Linked DNA regions of Schizosaccharomyces pombe. Each later gene encodes a partner of the first gene's protein in a complex. Each region holds a gene or a part of one and is shown in the gene's direction. Other genes may lie near its edges.

Region 1 (4,024 bases):
AAATTTTTATGTTTCTTAAAAGAGATTGTAAGTCGCCGTTGGTTTTAACAAGACTAGTTGAATTGGGAGATTATGTACTGGATCTCATTATAATCACGCAGTCGATTATGCAAAACAATGCCAACAATGGAACTGGAGTGATTTCCAGAGCGAAATTTTTGGAATTTTACGTATTTTTGGAGCAACTGATATTTAACAAGCTCTCATTCGCTTCCGTAGAGCAATTGGAAAAATTACTAGATCAAATTGTTAAACGGATGAAAATATGCTTCACATATTGCAAAAACGATAACCCATCTATCCGGTTGTTATATAGTGAATGTTTTTTTTCGTACGCTGAGATATACTTCCCTTGTCTACACTCCTTCGATGCTCAGCTTTCATCTGCCGCAAGCAAATGTGTCCAAATCTTAAGAGACATAATCACAAATGAAGAATTACAAACTGATAAACAAGAGTTGTCTAAGAGTGCCTACTCTGCTCCATCCATCCTTTTGATTGGCCTCAAAGATATGCTATTTCCCGAAGACATTTCCTAATAGTAATATATTGAGGGCCACTATTTAACACACATTCATTTCTTGCCTTTCCAATTTGACTCCTTTTGTTATCCTAAAATATTCACAACATTTGGTGGAATTTTTCTGGAAATTCAATGTACAAAGAACGTTGTGGTGAAAGTGTTGATCATCATATCCATTCGATGAACTTTGATATTATGTTCCCTTTTAAATCTTGGGCATAAGGGAAAGGTTTTCTGCTTTTAAAAATTGATGGATAAAAGAAACAAAGGAACAAAAAAAGCGAATATATAGTGGCCAATTTGTATTATTTTCAAGTACAGAAGTGCTTTCCAAATTCGTTTACAAGAAACTTTGGAATTTCAATCAACAAGCTATGTTTCTTCTTTTCCAATAAAGCGCATTTAATACAACGCGTTGACAACAAGATTATTGATCAAGTAAAGGAAATTTATCGCACAAGCCTTCATTCATAATCCGCGATTTGATCTATACGCATTGCTATCCTATTCCTTACGAGGGATAAATCGAAGGAAGTGATAATGGATAAAACCACACAAGCTCCAGAGAATTGAAGGTTTTTCAGCTATAGACCTAACTAGAAGAACAGGGATACTTACAGGGCTTATTAATATTCAACATTAAAGAGCGTCTTATCGATTCCTTGTCAACTTGATATCACCAACAGTTCTATGCACTACTAACTTTATGTCACACTGCGTTACATGTCATTATAAATAATTCCTTTAGTATTTCTTATATTCTCCACTAATTGGAGTCATCGAGAGATGACCGGACTTTTCCTACAATAATTTTTACTTTTATTTATGTTTTAAAATACTCAAAATAAGCATGATTGAGCTTTTTTTGCTTACTCTCAACATGTGTCAGTAGGAATCCGTACATGATCTGATATGATAATTTTACTGGCATCAGAAACTCTATAACCACACACAGCTTACTTGAACGGGCCTCATTTGATGGAATCATAGAAGCAATCACAACTAAAAACGATAATGATTGAAAGCGTTTGAATGCTACGTTGGCGGAACACAATCACACATACTGTCAGCCTTCAATAATTAAATAACGCAACCCAACAAAGATGCCTAAGGTAGAGGGACTAATGCGAGAGGAAGCCATCTACGCAGTATGTAAAATATTTTAAGGAGTTTGTATAGTTGCTAATTTAACAACGATATACATAATAACGAAATATGTTAGTGATTTTTATATTTGTATAAAATAATACCCTGGATAATTTTGTATTTATTAACTATAGTACTGCTACACCGTAATATTATATTAATTAGTATATCCATTGGAACTAAATTGAGTAACTAAGAATTAGTCCGACCTAATAAACGCTAATAGTCAATAAATTGGCTTAGAATTGTCTGAGATAATAAACTCTTTTAATATTTCAAACGATGAAAAGTTTCGATTAAGAACTCAAGAATGAACAGTAATGATTGATTTAACGTAATATAGCGCAGTTAAACGTTTGCCGACATCTTAGGTCAATGTATTTTCTAATACTAATAGTGCTTGACTCACTGTCTTTTTGAGCTTCTCTATAGATTAAAGAGGTTTTAACCTTATCATGCCAGTCTTTACCAAGGAAGCTTTGGAACGGCTTCCTATCCAATTAGGAAACTTTTTTAAAAAGTTTCCGCCTGAAAATCCAAATGCATGGACGACAAATCCAAATCGTCAAAATCCGTTTCTCGCAACTCGAAATCCTCAGAATGGCCTTGTAATCAACCCTTACTATTCCAATAGAAGGCAAGCTGAAATATATAAAGAGGCCAGGCTTCAGAATCTGGATAATTTACTCCCCCAACAAATGTCATGGCAGAAAGATTCTACACGCCATATTTTGAAAGGTCTTCTGAATCCTAAAGGAAAAATTAGTGAACGAAAGAGGGATGAGATTTTGGAAAATAGGCGTTTAAAACTTTCGGAATCATTGAAGAAAACTTCTAAATTTAAAAATGAGCGCGTATGTAAACTGTTGTACTTTCATGATTTTCTTATTTCTATCTACTGATTTTGATTGTGAAAAATTTACTATTATTATTTTTTTAATTGTCTTTATTAACACTCTTTTTAGCAAAAAGCTAGCAAAATAGCGAAACCTTCTCCTTTCTAAATTCTTCTTCTGCAAAGTGGGTTTCACGTAATACTGTTAATACCTTTTGATTCCTGTTTGTTTATGACTTCCTTAAATTTTTTTAAAGATTCATTTAAATTTACTGCTATATTACCTCAATTATGTGTTTACTAAAAGTCTTTTATTGTGCAGCATGATAAAAAGACTAATATACTAGTCTATACATTTTTGTAATCTTTACTAATAATATGATTCTACTTTAATAGTTAAATTACATTTAAATATTAGGTTTTGAATCTGCAGACTTAGGATTTTAGAATGTGATTTATTCGTAACTTTTCATTATGAAGTATCTTGTTATCTTTAATTTTTAGGAAGAGCGCATTTAAATATAAAAAAAATATTTAGCACTTTCTCAAAACTCATTACTTGTGAATGAGTAAGTAAGTCATTATATGATTTATGTAACTTTCTAAGCTTATTAGTGCATTTCAAAGCCGACGGAAATTCGTCAAAGTGATTTTAAGATTTTGGGGCATTAAAAAAAAAGATGGACAGTCGAGTAATTTTTTTTTCATCGGAAATTGGGAAAATGCAACTTCAAACAGCATTTTCAACGTCTTCTTCTCCTTCTTCATCTTCTTCACCTTCAAACATTAATTCATTGAAAGACTTAATCAATGGACTAGGAGAATAATCTTGAGCATCTTCCTCGTCAATCCCCTCGAATTCTTGATATCCGAATTTCGTATTTTTGGGTGTTTTGGGCGACTTGGATGTGCTTTTATTAGTATCGTCTTCTTCTTCATCGCTAAGTTCAAGCAAAGGAGATCTCCAAAAATTCACATCAGTAAAGCTTGAGACTTCATCTCGGGTGCTAACCTCGATGGGAGGGAAGAAATGATCGACAAGCTCATTCATGTAAACATAACTACTTCGGTGACCGCTTCGCTGCAACAGTTCAATATGGACTTCGCCAGCAGAATTAATGGTAAAAATCCTAGTTGGTGGAACTCTGACATGGTTATAAGATATTGCGTCTGTAATACGATTGCCAAAGCCGGCGTAAAATGGTGTTCGAGGAACAGGTAAGGCGAAAATATTACAAAGATCACGCAAACAAGCCATTTTAAATACTTCTGGCTTCCTTAAAATTACTTCTCTATGAAGAGCAGCCATAGTGCGATCAGGTGATAAAATAACAGGACCATCGGGTAGAGAGTATCCGTTCTGTTCAATATTCCGGAGATAATGTCGAGTAGAATCGGCTTGGCCTACCGAACGACTAGTTAAATACATAATTTTGTAGCCGTTGTTAGTGATATCGGTATACAATTTGGCAACTCCAGCATGAGTCCAATCCTTGCCGATCAAGGTAAACATATGCCCT
Region 2 (4,160 bases), on another chromosome or scaffold:
AGTCCACGAGTAGATTTGTAAAGAGCACCTGTCAATGCACCAGCTGCAACACTATTTTCCCATCCATGCTTTTGGCGCTTGTAGCCTATTAAAGAATTGATTCCATTATACACGAGGGCAAGCACACCCAAGGAATTACCAACGAAAGGACCACGTCGTGTAACACCGTTCAAAATACCATTAAGGCGCAACCGTGTGGAAGTAATATCTTTAGTTTTCTTCATGCCTTCATTGAGACCCCAGAGTCCACCAATCGCCAATCCACTTAAATAAGAAGTTCCAGTACCGTAACAAAGATCATCTTGCCATCCGCGAGATGGGATAGCCATGCTATCGCCTGGAAGAGTAGAAAGAGCATCTTCCTCAATCAATAAGTAATCCAGAGGTTTATCTAAATCAGCGAGGGGATGTAACTTGGCGGGATCGAATTCAGAACCCGATAAAATATCTGAGGCTGTAGCCTCGGTAGGGACCTGCAATTCAGAAGAATCAATCTTTGAGGTTGGTTCCTCTTCTTTATTTCTTGTAAACAACCAAGACATATCTTAAAAAGTTGATTTTTCGCAAAGGCGCGATGGTGGTTGTCTGCAGGTAGCGGTGGTTACAGGAACTGTGTATTAGCACCTAAATTAAAATAGTAGAAAAAAATTGTTGAGACGTAAAAAGTGTCGCAATTATCATGAATTTACATTTATATATAAAAAAAAAGACTTAATGAATAAATCCTCGATCGTTAAATAACGCCCGAACTTATTTACTCGATCACCGCTTAAAATTCTAGACAAGTTGGGCATAGGTCCATCGATAAAACAATAGAATAGAAGAAACTATAAAACTTTTTTTTATGAGAGAACAAACAACGAAAATACAAAAAATATAACACTAAGTATTATCAATTATACAGTTACGCAAAGCAAGCATAAGACCGTTGTGAATTAAATTTACGTCCAGACAAATCAAAGGTCTCTATTAATATTAATATGCCATTCACATTAAGAGCCAAACCAAAGCGTGTTAAAGGAATACATTGAATCCGTAAATATCCTAAGTACGAACAGGTAAAGAAAGCTAAAGTAGATATCTAACAACAACAAAAAACGAAACTTGCTAGCTCAAAATCACAAAACCATATTCAGCACATTTAAACGACCCAAAACGAAAGAAGGCCTTTAAATTTCTTTGAGCGCAAAAGTAAGACTGGGAATTTAAGCAGTCTATTTGAGGACATACTTGCGAAAAGCAAAGTAAGCAACAACCATCACAAGGACAAAGAGCCACATAGCAGGCTTAACTGGTTGAGAAGAATCATATCCACTTCCACCAGCGGCAGCACCAGTTGTGGGAAGCTGAGGGCCATCTTCAGTCTAAAATATGTTAGAGTGTCGAAGCAAATTTTTACAAAAATTTTAACGAGCCTATGGCGAACGAAGAGAAAAAATAAATGACATACTCTGAGCAAGTTTCCAATGTAAAATTTTTCGAGCAACTCCTGAGCATCCTCAGAGTGACCAACATCCTCGAAAGGACCGCTAGCATCACGACCTAAAACAAGTTAATAATCACAGAAACGAACAAAAAAAAGCCCCTAGCGATGGTAGAGAAAGGCAGAAACTTTGTATAGCCAATCCAAAAGCCGTATGTGAAGAATCGAAGCGATATCGTCAATCAATCTTTCCAAAATTATGTATTTCAGTGTATTCAGAGTACTGGAAATACAAAACATCGAGTAGAGAGCGATCAATCTTGGAACATATAGACTGTACTTAACAATTCACCTTCAATGACAATGTCGCATTAAACATCGTATTTATTCAGGATATCGCATCTATTTTTGTACGTTCCTACGGCAAAGATTCGTCCTGAATCTTTCAAATTAAAGAACATGTGTATATGCGACACCTAAACTCTCGTGAAATTCAAAGTTTTGTAACGCTAGTTGTCTGAAACTTCGATTTCTACGACTCCACACAATCGCGACCAATTTTTATGCATTACAACCAATCTTCCTCAAGACCTCCATTATCGCGTACCCCTAAAAATTTACTTACCGGCCAAATCAACAAGAACCTCTTCACCACCAGGGTGAGCGTCAAGGAACTTGGAAATATCATACACCTTGTCTTTTACAACAATGTACAAATCATCACGAGTGTTATGTTTTAACACTTCTTCAACAGTAATTGTCTTCTCTGCCATGATCAAGTTCTGCTTATTCTTCCTTAAAGGTGGTATTTAACGGTTATAACCCAGGAGCTAATTACTCTCGAGATGTTGGTTGCAAATGCCCTATCGCGATTTATCTAGCAGGTGGGAAGTAGAAATGAGCCGATTCTTACTGGCAGGTGGTCACGTGGATTCGAGTTGGAAGGTACACCCAAGGATATGAACTTACCCAAAACCTATATCATTCTTCAGTTAACCAACTCCACCATTTTGGAGGTGTAGTGTTTATATTTGAATGGCAATATAATATTTAAATCAATTTAGGACGCTAATCAAGTTAATTTTTGTTCACATCTTTGCTGTTTCGTTGGAGCCGTAAACTACTTTGTGACAAACCATCAACTACTCAGAATTTGTCTATCACCCAAAAACTTAACAAAAAATTTTTATTTGCTCTTTTTGATCCAACCTTCTTCCTCTCCTTTTGATTTTATACGAAAAATATGCTGGGTGCATTTAACTCGACTTTGGCTCGCTTTGGCGGTCTTGTTCATAAAGTACCTTGGAGATTATCCCAGCGAAGAAAATATCGTCACCGTCAACGACTTCGTGCCGTCGATGAGGTGGTAGATGTTTTGCGCACGGCGTTGCAAGAGAAAAATCAATCGTGCAAACGAATTGAAAGTTTCGTTGCTAACCATCAGCCTGAATCCCAAATGTCACCAAAGGATAAATACACTATGTTTACCAGGAAGACTCAAGGTGCCGGTCTCCAAGGCTTCCGCAAGGGTGTCCATAAATCACCAAAATGGACCCGTAGTACTAATCGTGTTAATCCCACTGGCTTTTAAAAACGTCTGGTTGCAAAAGTTTACTACTTTTTTTTTCATAATTTTAATGCTCTATGAATAATAAATGTAATGGATTATTTTAATAGCTTATTTTATTACTTTTTTATTGCAAAAACTCCCACCTCTTCCTCGTCTTCGTTCATATTCAATTTCCAGTTTCATACATATTCAAACAAACGACATTAGCCTTTAGTTAGAGTAAAGTTCATATCACCTCTATTATACGTCTCTTTAATTCTTTGCTCTGTAAAACAATACATAAGCAGACGATGTGACAATATCCTCCGGATCTATTTCACAAATAGCTGTATCATCAAACTTAAAGAATGTTTGGCTCGATGCATCTCTTGCATAGGCAGTATAATGACCATTACTCATAAACCCGTGATGATTGTCCACTGCATACAAATCGTAAAGCATCGATTTCTGTGACGATAGCCACTCATGATCTTTTATAAATGGACTCAAAAATTGCTTCAAATTGAGATCAAATACTGGATAAACTACTAAATCCCTTCGTTTACGTCTTCTCCGCAAATCTCCACCGTGGCCGCTGAATCGATTTAAATGAATGACTAGTATTTTTGGCAATCGCCAGATCTCCAGCCGTTTTGTTGCCGGTCGAAATGCCTTACACCCAGGACAATACCAGGAATCCTGTAAATCAAGCTGCTCTGGCTTGGAAAACTCCAGTAAACAATCTTCAAGGGTGATGGACTCCATATGGAACTGAATTTTTTCAAATATCCATTCGCAGTTATAAAATAACTTTTCATATTGTTGATCGTTCCATAGACACATAATTACAGTTTTGTCGTCAATAACGATTTCCTCTTCCTCCACTATTTCAAACCTTTTAACCTCAATTTCCTTTATGCATTCCCATTTCCCGGCCTTACTTTCCATCCGCTTCAGTCCAAGCTGAAGAGTTCCGATTGCTACGTCTATGCCTGCATAAACTCGATACAGTTCGACAATCTCTTTCACTAAATCATTTGTGAGTACATTTCGAGAACGGACGTTGAGTTGTAAAGGAAATCCAAACACATCGTTAGACTGGTATGATCCGGGCATTGCCGGTCGTTTACATCCATGGACGATAGGTATTGTTAATCCGTTTGCAGTACTTCCATAAAGTACAACATG
Region 3 (3,925 bases), on another chromosome or scaffold:
TTACTTTATCTCCAGGGCATTCTTGCTCGTCTTTTTGCTGTACTTCCTCATTAATTTTTATGTCTCCTAATTTTTCGGTTACAGTCTCAGATTCATCTTCATTAGAAGAATCAGATTCATATTCACGTTGGACATAGTCCGTAAGGCGATTCAACATAGCGACCACAAGTTGGGTTACGTTTACGCTTGGAGAAAGCTTTATGACCGTACCGAAATATGTATCGAGGGTTTGAAGATGCATATTATCAGAAAACGCCTGACAAATTACTTCAACAAGATACTCTTGTGCAAGTGAGTCCCGACATTCAATAATTTGCTCGATTATGGCAGGAAGGACATGATCTCGGTAAGTGTCTATATCGAGGTTTAACTGAGATAATCGAACCAAATTCAGCCCAACAAGAACCTTTAGCTCATTCCTTTCTTGGGTACGTTTGGAAAATTCTTTAATTGGACCAAGATGTTGGATTCTAACCCACAATTTATTCATTTCCGTAAAGTTGATAACTAAAAATTTAACAGAATCGAGTACGGTTCCTTTGCGAGATGCATCTTCCTCATCTTCTGATCCCAAAGGTAATCCTTTTCTTGTTTGGGTAAGCAGATAATGGCGCAAAAAAAGACCTCTTAACGGATGCTGAACACCTCTACACATATCTAACAAATCATTCATAATTTCACGTACAAGGGCATTAGGCGTTTCCAAATAAGCGCTTCCAACGGTTATCATGAGATATAAACGAGGGACAATACTACCGGCATATTGAACAAGTTCATAAAGGTCCATTAGGTTGTGAGTACCGTTCAGATGCGTTTCCAGCAATGTGCCCCCAAGTAAACGCAAGCTTTCCATATTAAACATATACAGCTCATAGTATTGTTTTGGAGTAAGTGCAGAATTTCTCATTTCCACGAGACTAATACTGCAATTACGAAATGCATCCATCAATCGTCCTGTCTGCAAGTTTCTTTGCATCAGCCTACTAGACTGCTTGCAAATATTTAAGGACTCTTCCAAGCTCCTTGTAATTTCTTCGTTAGCAGTATTAATTCCGTTCATAGAGCCCTAAATATCCACTTCCAAGTGTTTCAATTTAACCAACGTAATTGTAATTTCAGTATAGTTTTACTAGCGGCCCAACTTTCGAACAGAAAAACAGGATGTTTGTTATTCTTTTTAATTCACTAATATTAGCAATGTTTTTTATAATGGGTTCGTTGAAATGTCTACAAATAAAGTTGGTGGTACTGGTTGAGATATATTGGTAGATCTTGAAGTATTGCGCGCAGCACAGCTTGGAATCGCGCTTCGCTCAATTTCAAATTGACCATTTTCATATCACAAATATCGCGCCTAAATAGTATATTATTTTGATAACAATTAAAAGAAACTATAAATCTAATCATCGGAAAGGTTCACACTACAAGATTCGTCTTAGACCTCTAAACTAACGGTTTTTGAATTCTACATTCAATTGAGAATTTATTTAAGCTGCTTTTCTTTTTATTTTGTAAAAACTTTCTTGACGGATTTCTTGGTGCACCCATTTAATTGAAATGAGTATTATGAAACCGACAACTCGATTTTTTCGCTTCAATTCCCTTGAACTAGCAGTCTCACCTTTTCAAAGAATTTATGGGCAACTGGTATGTCAAGCTTATAAAAAAAATCACCGTTACTTACACAGTTATTTAGAGGTTTCTTCGTAAACAGCCAAAACCGTTTTTGGTAAAACTGTTAAACAACGAAGTTTCAAAGCTAGGAAGGCAAGGTATGCTAAATTTTTCATAATTATAATGTTCTTCATTTCAAACCTATAATAGGGAGGTAGTGGTTACATCCTTTTATTATAAGAAATGCATTCTTTTAGCCGTCGTAGGAAACTACTAACTTTACAAAAGGTGATGTCGTCTCAGTGACAAGGGGATATTATCGAAATACACTTTTCCCCAAGAAGCAAGCGATTGCTGTTGATGCCTTAAAATCTATGAAAGCACATTTGTTACAAGGGTCCGAATTCTCGACGAAAACGAAGGAATAATAATACCTAAACTCTCACTTAGTTCAATCAACATAAAAAGAATTTATTGAGTTTATTAGTGGATTAATTAAGGCTTAGCTAGCTGCAATTTGAACAATTCTAGCTTTTCATTACGAGATATTGTTACATTACTAACAAGAATTACGAAGTATTCAGCATTGACTTTTTTCTATAAAAAAATATAAAAAATTTAATTAAAAGGCTTCACTAGAAGCGTAGTCTCTTTCTGAGTTTGAATATTATCGTTATTGTAATATTTTATCAGGGTTGATGCTTAGTGTTTCTCAATTACAATAACAAGCTTTGGATTTTCCTATAATAGTATAGTTAATATGAAATTTAAATCCTTGAATGGTAAACGTTTACTGCGTATTGTGCGGCCATCGTTTCTGCTCTATCAGCTCGTCTAGCATCTTCTTCTCACAGCTACCAACTATTTTGAGTTGGATCCAAAATCATCTCATAACTCGTGTTTATTATTGCTAAAGCAGCAGAGAAAATATTTTTCATTACCTTATTCAGCTTCAATGAAAATTAATTTGTTTTTTGTGTTTCTATTTGAACTTCTGCATTTCGTGGCAGCTTATAGTTGTGAAGGAGATGAATCAGCTGCCATTGAAGCTATGAATGTCTTACAGGTACCGTATGAAAAATACAACACAGACCCAGTTTGCGCTTTTGACAATTCCACCGTTGTCGAACTTTCAGATAAAACCTGGGATCATGTCATTGAATCTGGCAAATGGTTTGTGCAGTTGACTGCTGAAGGCTGTGCTAACTGTACTCTTGGAGAGCTACTTTTTAACGTAAGTAATGGACTGCATTTAATGTTGTCCAAATGCTCTTGTTATGAGATTGAATTTTGAGCCTCGGAAATAAATTAAACCATCTTTGGATTTAATTGAATCTGTACTAACTAATTTTAGGACCTTTCGCATGCTTTTCATGAAAAATATCCGGATGTCCACTTTGCCCGTGTTTACTTGAGCAGTAGCCTCGAACTTTCTGTACGCTTACTCATTTCTCGGATTCCTTCTTATTATTTCATCGATAATCAAAATTTCTACCGTGTTTCTCCTCAGGTTCTTCCCAAGAACAAGGCAATCGCCTTATATGAAAAAGACGGGTTCAAAAGTATGAAAAAAGAGCAAGGTTTTTTCTCTGTTAACGGGCCCTTGAAGTCCTTTTACTGGGTCTTTGGAAAGGCACTTGCACTTTACGGACACTTAAGTCAAAAATACACCCCTCTTGGAATGAATGTAGCTATTTTTGGGATCTCTGCCTACATAATGTATCGCTCTAGCAAAAAAGCGAAACAAAAACAAGCCGCTGCTGCTGCCGCCGCCGCTGCAAAAAAGAAATAAGCTATGTGGAAAATACTATTAGTTTTTGATAATATCAATTTTTTGAATAATTATACGAGAGTTTGTTACATGTTCTATATGTAAGGCACCGCTCTAGTAAAGGTTTATACCCTATTTGTTTCATTCCTTCCTTTTTTAACAGAACGTAGATTTTCCAACCTTATTGCTTGTTTGGAGATTCATTAGAGGAATCATCTTTTAGCTTAGAATAAACGGCAAAGTACTGCCCGTCTCTTTTCTTAGCATTCTGAAATACATTCCACGGCTCTTGATCGGGTAATGATGGTAGAGATTCCGCATTAATAGCATGATTCAAAGTACGAAATGGTTCCTTAATGAAGGATGTATCAAGTCTCTCAATTGCATGCATTTGAATGATTCCTTCGTTGAGTTTTAGAATTGTTCTTTCATTCTCTTCCTTAGAGTCTGCTTCACGAAGACCAACGAGCCTCAGCAAATGACCATACTCAGTTAAGCCAATTGGTTTGGGTGGATTTCCTTGGAGAATTCGTTTAAGTG
Region 4 (4,911 bases), on another chromosome or scaffold:
TGCTACACAAACTACAACTATGTTTTTTGAAGTCCTTTCTGATTCAGTGAATAGCCAGCTTCCTTTACAAGCTCTTACCTCTGGTGTGTCGAGTAAGAAGGACGGTAATTTTGATGATCTAGTCGAACGTCGTCAATATGGATCTCTGTCTTCAAATGCTGTACTTATGCCAATGCTTCTACCTTTGTGTGTTTTGACTTCTTCGTGTTTGCAAAATGGGGACGTCTGGCTTACTAAAGATATTCGAACTGGACTTTCACAGATATTCAATCGTTTAAGCTTCTTTTTGGAGAACACAAATCAAACAGCTCCCGACGACTCTGTTCTTGTACGCTGTTCTTCTAAAAGTATCGGCCTGCTATTCTTTTTCCCTCTTGTTAAGGTTTGTGGAGTTCCTCGTGATACTTTACAGTGGCTTTACTTTTCAAATCATTATCCTTTTAATGAGGAAGGTAAAGGTCCCCAAGTTGATGATTCTGACGCACTGATAACAATTGCGTTAGATTCTTTGTATGTGTTACTGAATATGCGAGCGAAAAGTACACCAAATAGCACATCTTTTTCTTCGCCTCCAACACCCCACAGATCTCCATTTAGCGGACAGGCTTTTACTGGAATGGGATTATCGAATTATTCACTAATGTCCTCATCTTCTTTTCCATCTGCTCAATCTTCTCCTACATCTCCTTTTTTATCTGGAACACCATCCATAGCTAATCAGTCATCTAGTATTGCAAGTCTGCAATTTGGGAGGATGGTGGATAGCCTCGTTGGACCTGTTCAACCTATACCTGCTCAAACTACCGGGTGCTCTGTTCATTCATTACAACAACGCACGTTTTCAAATGAGAGTCCTAGAGCTGTCGATTCTGGTTTTAGTAGGACTAGCACACCATTTAGTGAAAGTACTAGTTCTTATCCTTTAGTGTCTGGGAATCTCAGTTCTTGTGAGACACACTTGAACGGATCTCCGCAAAACGGACATTTACAAGGTGAACGTGTTTTATTCCGCCCATTGAGAAGCCCTGCTTTAAACACATTTTCTACGCCTGCTACGGAACCTCCGGAACATTTGGTTTTGTCTGAGCTATTAAAGAAAATGGTTAACATCAGCAATAATTAAACTGTATTGTTGATTGTAATGTTTCATTAAAAATTCTGAAGTTTGTTAGAAGCAGTCAATTAACTTTGCTGCCAACAACGAACAAATTTCTTGCTTTATTTCTCACGAAGTGAAATAACCCAAAATAATGTATCACGGATTTCTTTGTTTATACACTGTGCTTACGAATTAGAAATGGTTCTTCACTTGCCTAAAGAAAGGCTTTGACTTTTATATAAGTATGAATAGTCATCAAATGGCCTAAAGTGTACGGGTATTCACGACACTTAAATTAAAATATGGTCGATGGGAAAATAAAACGTTGTTTAGTTATCATAGCGCTGTTCTGGTTTGACCTAAACACAAGCAATTAAGGCGCTTCCCAATGTTACAATATATATCATAGAATGGGTTAATTGTTTACATAGGACTGCGTTGAATTCTTTAAATAGAATCTTTAGCCTCGAATTATGAAGTTATCTGACTTGTTGGATATCCTCAGCTTGCCAATTGATTGATAATAAGCATATGAGCTTGGACAGTGAATATTCAATATTTGGTTACTCAGTGCAATTTGTTTTGTGATTCTAAGCAGAAATGCTCTTTATAAACATTTACTGCACTATCTTGAGTTTCTAGAGCTTGTTCTGTATCCAAATTGTAATGACTGGCGATTCTCAAGTGCCAGATCTTATACCTCTTTTTATGTCTTTACCAGACGTTATCGTAATGCCTGGACACAAAACTAAAGTGTAAATTTGTCTTTCCTATGAAATGCTTGGTTTTTCATTAAAGTGTTACGAATTCGAAACATATATCTATGATTTTTGAGTATACACTGGCGGTATCTGTTGTTTAAGATAATTTAGTTTTGAGTTATTCGAGGCAATCAATTTCTTATCAAGTGTGATTCTCTTTTTAGAAAACCAAACTAAAAGTAAATCTATTGATCTTTTCAAGTATTAAGACAACTTGTTTTCTTTTGGATAAAATGCTTTTATTGTTGCATAATAGATTGATAAAGGTACGAAATGTATAAATGCATTATTTTATGTTGAGTACTTTACTCTTTCAGGATTGTGTTTGAGCTAAGCTTCTTGCATCTCTCATTCATCATCACACATCTATATTGAAAGGAAAGAAGGTAAAAAACGAACAAGAACAAAGTGAATACAAAAGAACGAATTGGATTAGTATTGTTATTGCATGAAAGTGATCTTATGACATGCATCACTATCCTATCCAAATAGTTTGTAGAGCCAGTTAGTAATAATACTTTCCAATAATTTGAATATGTGTGGCATGCCATTTGGCACGATTTTGAGAAATACAAAAATAAAATCATCTTGTAAAAGAAGAGCAATTAGCTGCTTTTTTATGTACCAGCTGAAGGAAAAACATTTGTTTTTCGACGTATAAAAAAAAACAGAAAGACATCAGCTTAAAGCTTTAAAGCTAACTTGTTTAAATAAGTTTGTAAGTTACAAGTACAATACTTTCTATTACACTTGGCACTCAAAATCGTGTGGCATATGATTATAACGATGCCTCGGATTTCCTTACTTGGCACTAGGTAATACGGTACACTAACCATGACAATACACTAGACAAACGCGAGCAATCTTCCAGCCCTAGTACCTAAGATCCATTGCAAAATTGTTTTGGTTGCGAGACTTACCTGTTTTATCCATAACCATTTGTTAAAACCTTCCTTTGAAGATTTGAGAAACAGGTATCATTTGTGGACATTGGTCTTTACAATTTCCTTGTTTCGTGATTATAAATATTTTTTCCCGGATTTGTGTTATTTACTATAATTTATTGGTAAATTATAACACAAGTGCTCATCTGCTTATAAAGCAAAAGGATTTTCACGAAAATTCCCTAGAAAGTAACCTGTTGTATTTTTGTCGCTTTTGGTTTCTCTTTGTCATTATACTTGTTTTAATTCATTTTTTAATTTTTAACAATGCTTGGGATAAGAAAAAATATCAGAATATCAGTTAACTTTCTGCAGCGAAGAACCATCACTGTAAAGCAAAAACTGGGCAAGAATAGGCCCCTACCAGGATGGGATCCAAATTCTGAGTATTTTCGTCCAGGACCCACCATGTTAAATCGCTTACAAGAACACTTGCATGATACCATTTTACCGGATGTATTAGCTGCTTCATATCGACATGACATAGATACAGCGTTAAGCACAGATGAACATACACAGAAAGACAGACTTCCAAGGTGGATTGGTGATAACCCTTATTATAAAAACCGGCCTCCTCAGAAAATGCGTGGTAATAAGCCTCTGTTACCAGTAAAGGAGTCCGTTAATCCTAAAAACCTTCCTTCTATTAGCAAAGTTGTCGTCAGCACTATGCATAAAGAAGCACTCGTTGACAAAACGCAGCTCTTGAGTACAATGATGGCATTTCGTTCTATAACGGGTTTGCAGCCCGAAATAGTCTATGCACGTAAGGACGTTTCTCCCTGGAAACTTCGTTCAGGTGTGCCAGTAGGTGTAAAGGTTACTCTAACTGGAGAATCTATGTATACATTTCTTTCAATCTTATCTGAGTTGGTTCTTCCTCAGCTTCATGATTTCAAGGGCCTGAGTCCTACAAGCGGAGATCAAACAGGAAACATATCTTTTGGTTTACCAAGTGAAGTCATGCCTTTATTTCCCCAAATTGAAGCTGTTTATGAGATGTATCCGCACTCTTTACCTGGATTTAACGTAAATATAACAACCAATTCCAAAGATACCCGTTTGGCTCGTTTTTTCGTCAGCAGTCTTATTCCATTTACAGATGGAAATAAGGAAGGCTATGTTGGATAGTAGACAATTTATTTTATATCTACTATACCTAATCTTTTCTCCTCAAGGAGTGAACAAAAAATCCCCTTCTCTACGACTAATGCATACATACGTTTTTGAGTTTTACTTGTTTAAGTGATAGAATTCCCGTAGATATGTGTTATTATATATTTATGTTATCGTTTTCACAAAGTAAATAAAAATAAAAAGTTTTTTCTTGAAAAGGAATAATCAATGGATATTTTTTAAACAAACTGAACATGTAAAATAGTATTTTTTTAGTAACTAAACTCATAATGGTATTTATCAAGGACATTCACAAAATCATTAAAAACATGAATATTGTAGAAAAATATAGCAACTTAAATCATACGGTTTATAGGTTAAATAAATTCATTAGTTCTAAATGGCATAAATGCAATGATAATGATGCAAAAAAACATAAAAAAGATAGATCGTAAAATAATGTTTCTGTTTTCATCATAACTTAGCCGGCTTATGAAACGAACGGGTGGCTCAACAACTCTGATGCTGTAGGTCTAAGATTACAATCTATGGCAAACGTTTTCTCAAGGAAATCTATGGCCGATGAAGAAATGTTAGAAGGGAATTCCGGCAGAATGTTCTCCCCAATTCTGAAAATGGCCTGCATTTGATCACAATTCGGATAAGGGTGCTTACTAGTGAGCATCTCGATTACCAAACATCCCAAAGACCAAATATCTGTTTTCTCCGTATGCATAGTTTGCTTCACCACTTCGGGAGCCATCCAAAAAGAAGAGCCTTGAAAAGAAGGGCGAGCACCACCCGTCTTCGTAGAGGTACTATTTAGTTCAAGTTTCTTCGATATCCCAAAGTCCGAAATTTTAATCTTCCCTTTATTATCAACCAAGATGTTCGCACCTTTTATATCACGGTGTACAATGCCGCGTGAATGAAGGTATTCTAAGCCTTTAAGGGTTTGCTTAATAAAGTTCTTGACTAGCGTTTCCTCAAA

The links.
Region 2: mrpl25 (region 1) and mrpl31 share a complex: the UniProt entries of both Schizosaccharomyces pombe proteins name them as parts of the mitochondrial large ribosomal subunit.
Region 3: mrpl25 (region 1) and SPOM_SPCC777.17C share a complex: the UniProt entries of both Schizosaccharomyces pombe proteins name them as parts of the mitochondrial large ribosomal subunit.
Region 4: mrpl25 (region 1) and mrpl7 share a complex: the UniProt entries of both Schizosaccharomyces pombe proteins name them as parts of the mitochondrial large ribosomal subunit.

Annotation. Positions count from the first base shown.
Region 1 is NC_003424.3:4,992,545-4,996,568, reverse strand, and holds mrpl25 (mitochondrial 54S ribosomal protein mL59), read left to right. Parts: upstream 1-2,061; 5' UTR 2,062-2,124; coding exon 2,125-2,523; intron 2,524-2,634; coding exon 2,635-2,673; 3' UTR 2,674-2,945; downstream 2,946-4,024. Other genes in the region: meiotic recombination protein Rec24, read left to right, coding at 1-539; lipin, phosphatidate phosphatase Ned1, read right to left, coding at 3,235-4,024. UniProt on the Schizosaccharomyces pombe protein: Component of the mitochondrial ribosome (mitoribosome), a dedicated translation machinery responsible for the synthesis of mitochondrial genome-encoded proteins, including at least some of the essential transmembrane subunits of the mitochondrial respiratory chain.
Region 2 is NC_003421.2:886,192-890,351, forward strand, and holds mrpl31 (mitochondrial 54S ribosomal protein mL60), read left to right. Parts: upstream 1-2,394; 5' UTR 2,395-2,666; coding exon 2,667-3,014; 3' UTR 3,015-3,104; downstream 3,105-4,160. Other genes in the region: TIM23 translocase complex subunit Tim23, read right to left, coding at 1-542; oca8 (cytochrome b5), read right to left, coding at 1,215-1,364, 1,451-1,542, 2,049-2,196; ubiquitin hydrolase Ubp1, read right to left, coding at 3,246-4,160. UniProt on the Schizosaccharomyces pombe protein: Component of the mitochondrial ribosome (mitoribosome), a dedicated translation machinery responsible for the synthesis of mitochondrial genome-encoded proteins, including at least some of the essential transmembrane subunits of the mitochondrial respiratory chain.
Region 3 is NC_003421.2:1,616,691-1,620,615, reverse strand, and holds SPOM_SPCC777.17C (mitochondrial ribosomal protein subunit L9), read left to right. Parts: upstream 1-1,557; coding exon 1,558-1,647; exon of another isoform or gene 1,648-1,696; coding exon 1,697-1,772; exon of another isoform or gene 1,773-1,902; coding exon 1,903-2,042; 3' UTR 2,043-2,470; downstream 2,471-3,925. Other genes in the region: retromer complex subunit Vps35, read right to left, coding at 1-1,060; SPOM_SPCC777.12C (ER stress response thioredoxin family membrane disulfide oxidoreductase), read left to right, coding at 2,570-2,848, 2,969-3,406; protein Gta3, read right to left, coding at 3,567-3,925. UniProt on the Schizosaccharomyces pombe protein: Component of the mitochondrial ribosome (mitoribosome), a dedicated translation machinery responsible for the synthesis of mitochondrial genome-encoded proteins, including at least some of the essential transmembrane subunits of the mitochondrial respiratory chain.
Region 4 is NC_003423.3:1,735,907-1,740,817, forward strand, and holds mrpl7 (mitochondrial 54S ribosomal protein uL5m), read left to right. Parts: upstream 1-2,735; 5' UTR 2,736-3,071; coding exon 3,072-3,935; 3' UTR 3,936-4,191; downstream 4,192-4,911. Other genes in the region: ebs1 (EST1 family protein), read left to right, coding at 1-1,123; MAP kinase kinase kinase Byr2, read right to left, coding at 4,411-4,911. UniProt on the Schizosaccharomyces pombe protein: Component of the mitochondrial ribosome (mitoribosome), a dedicated translation machinery responsible for the synthesis of mitochondrial genome-encoded proteins, including at least some of the essential transmembrane subunits of the mitochondrial respiratory chain.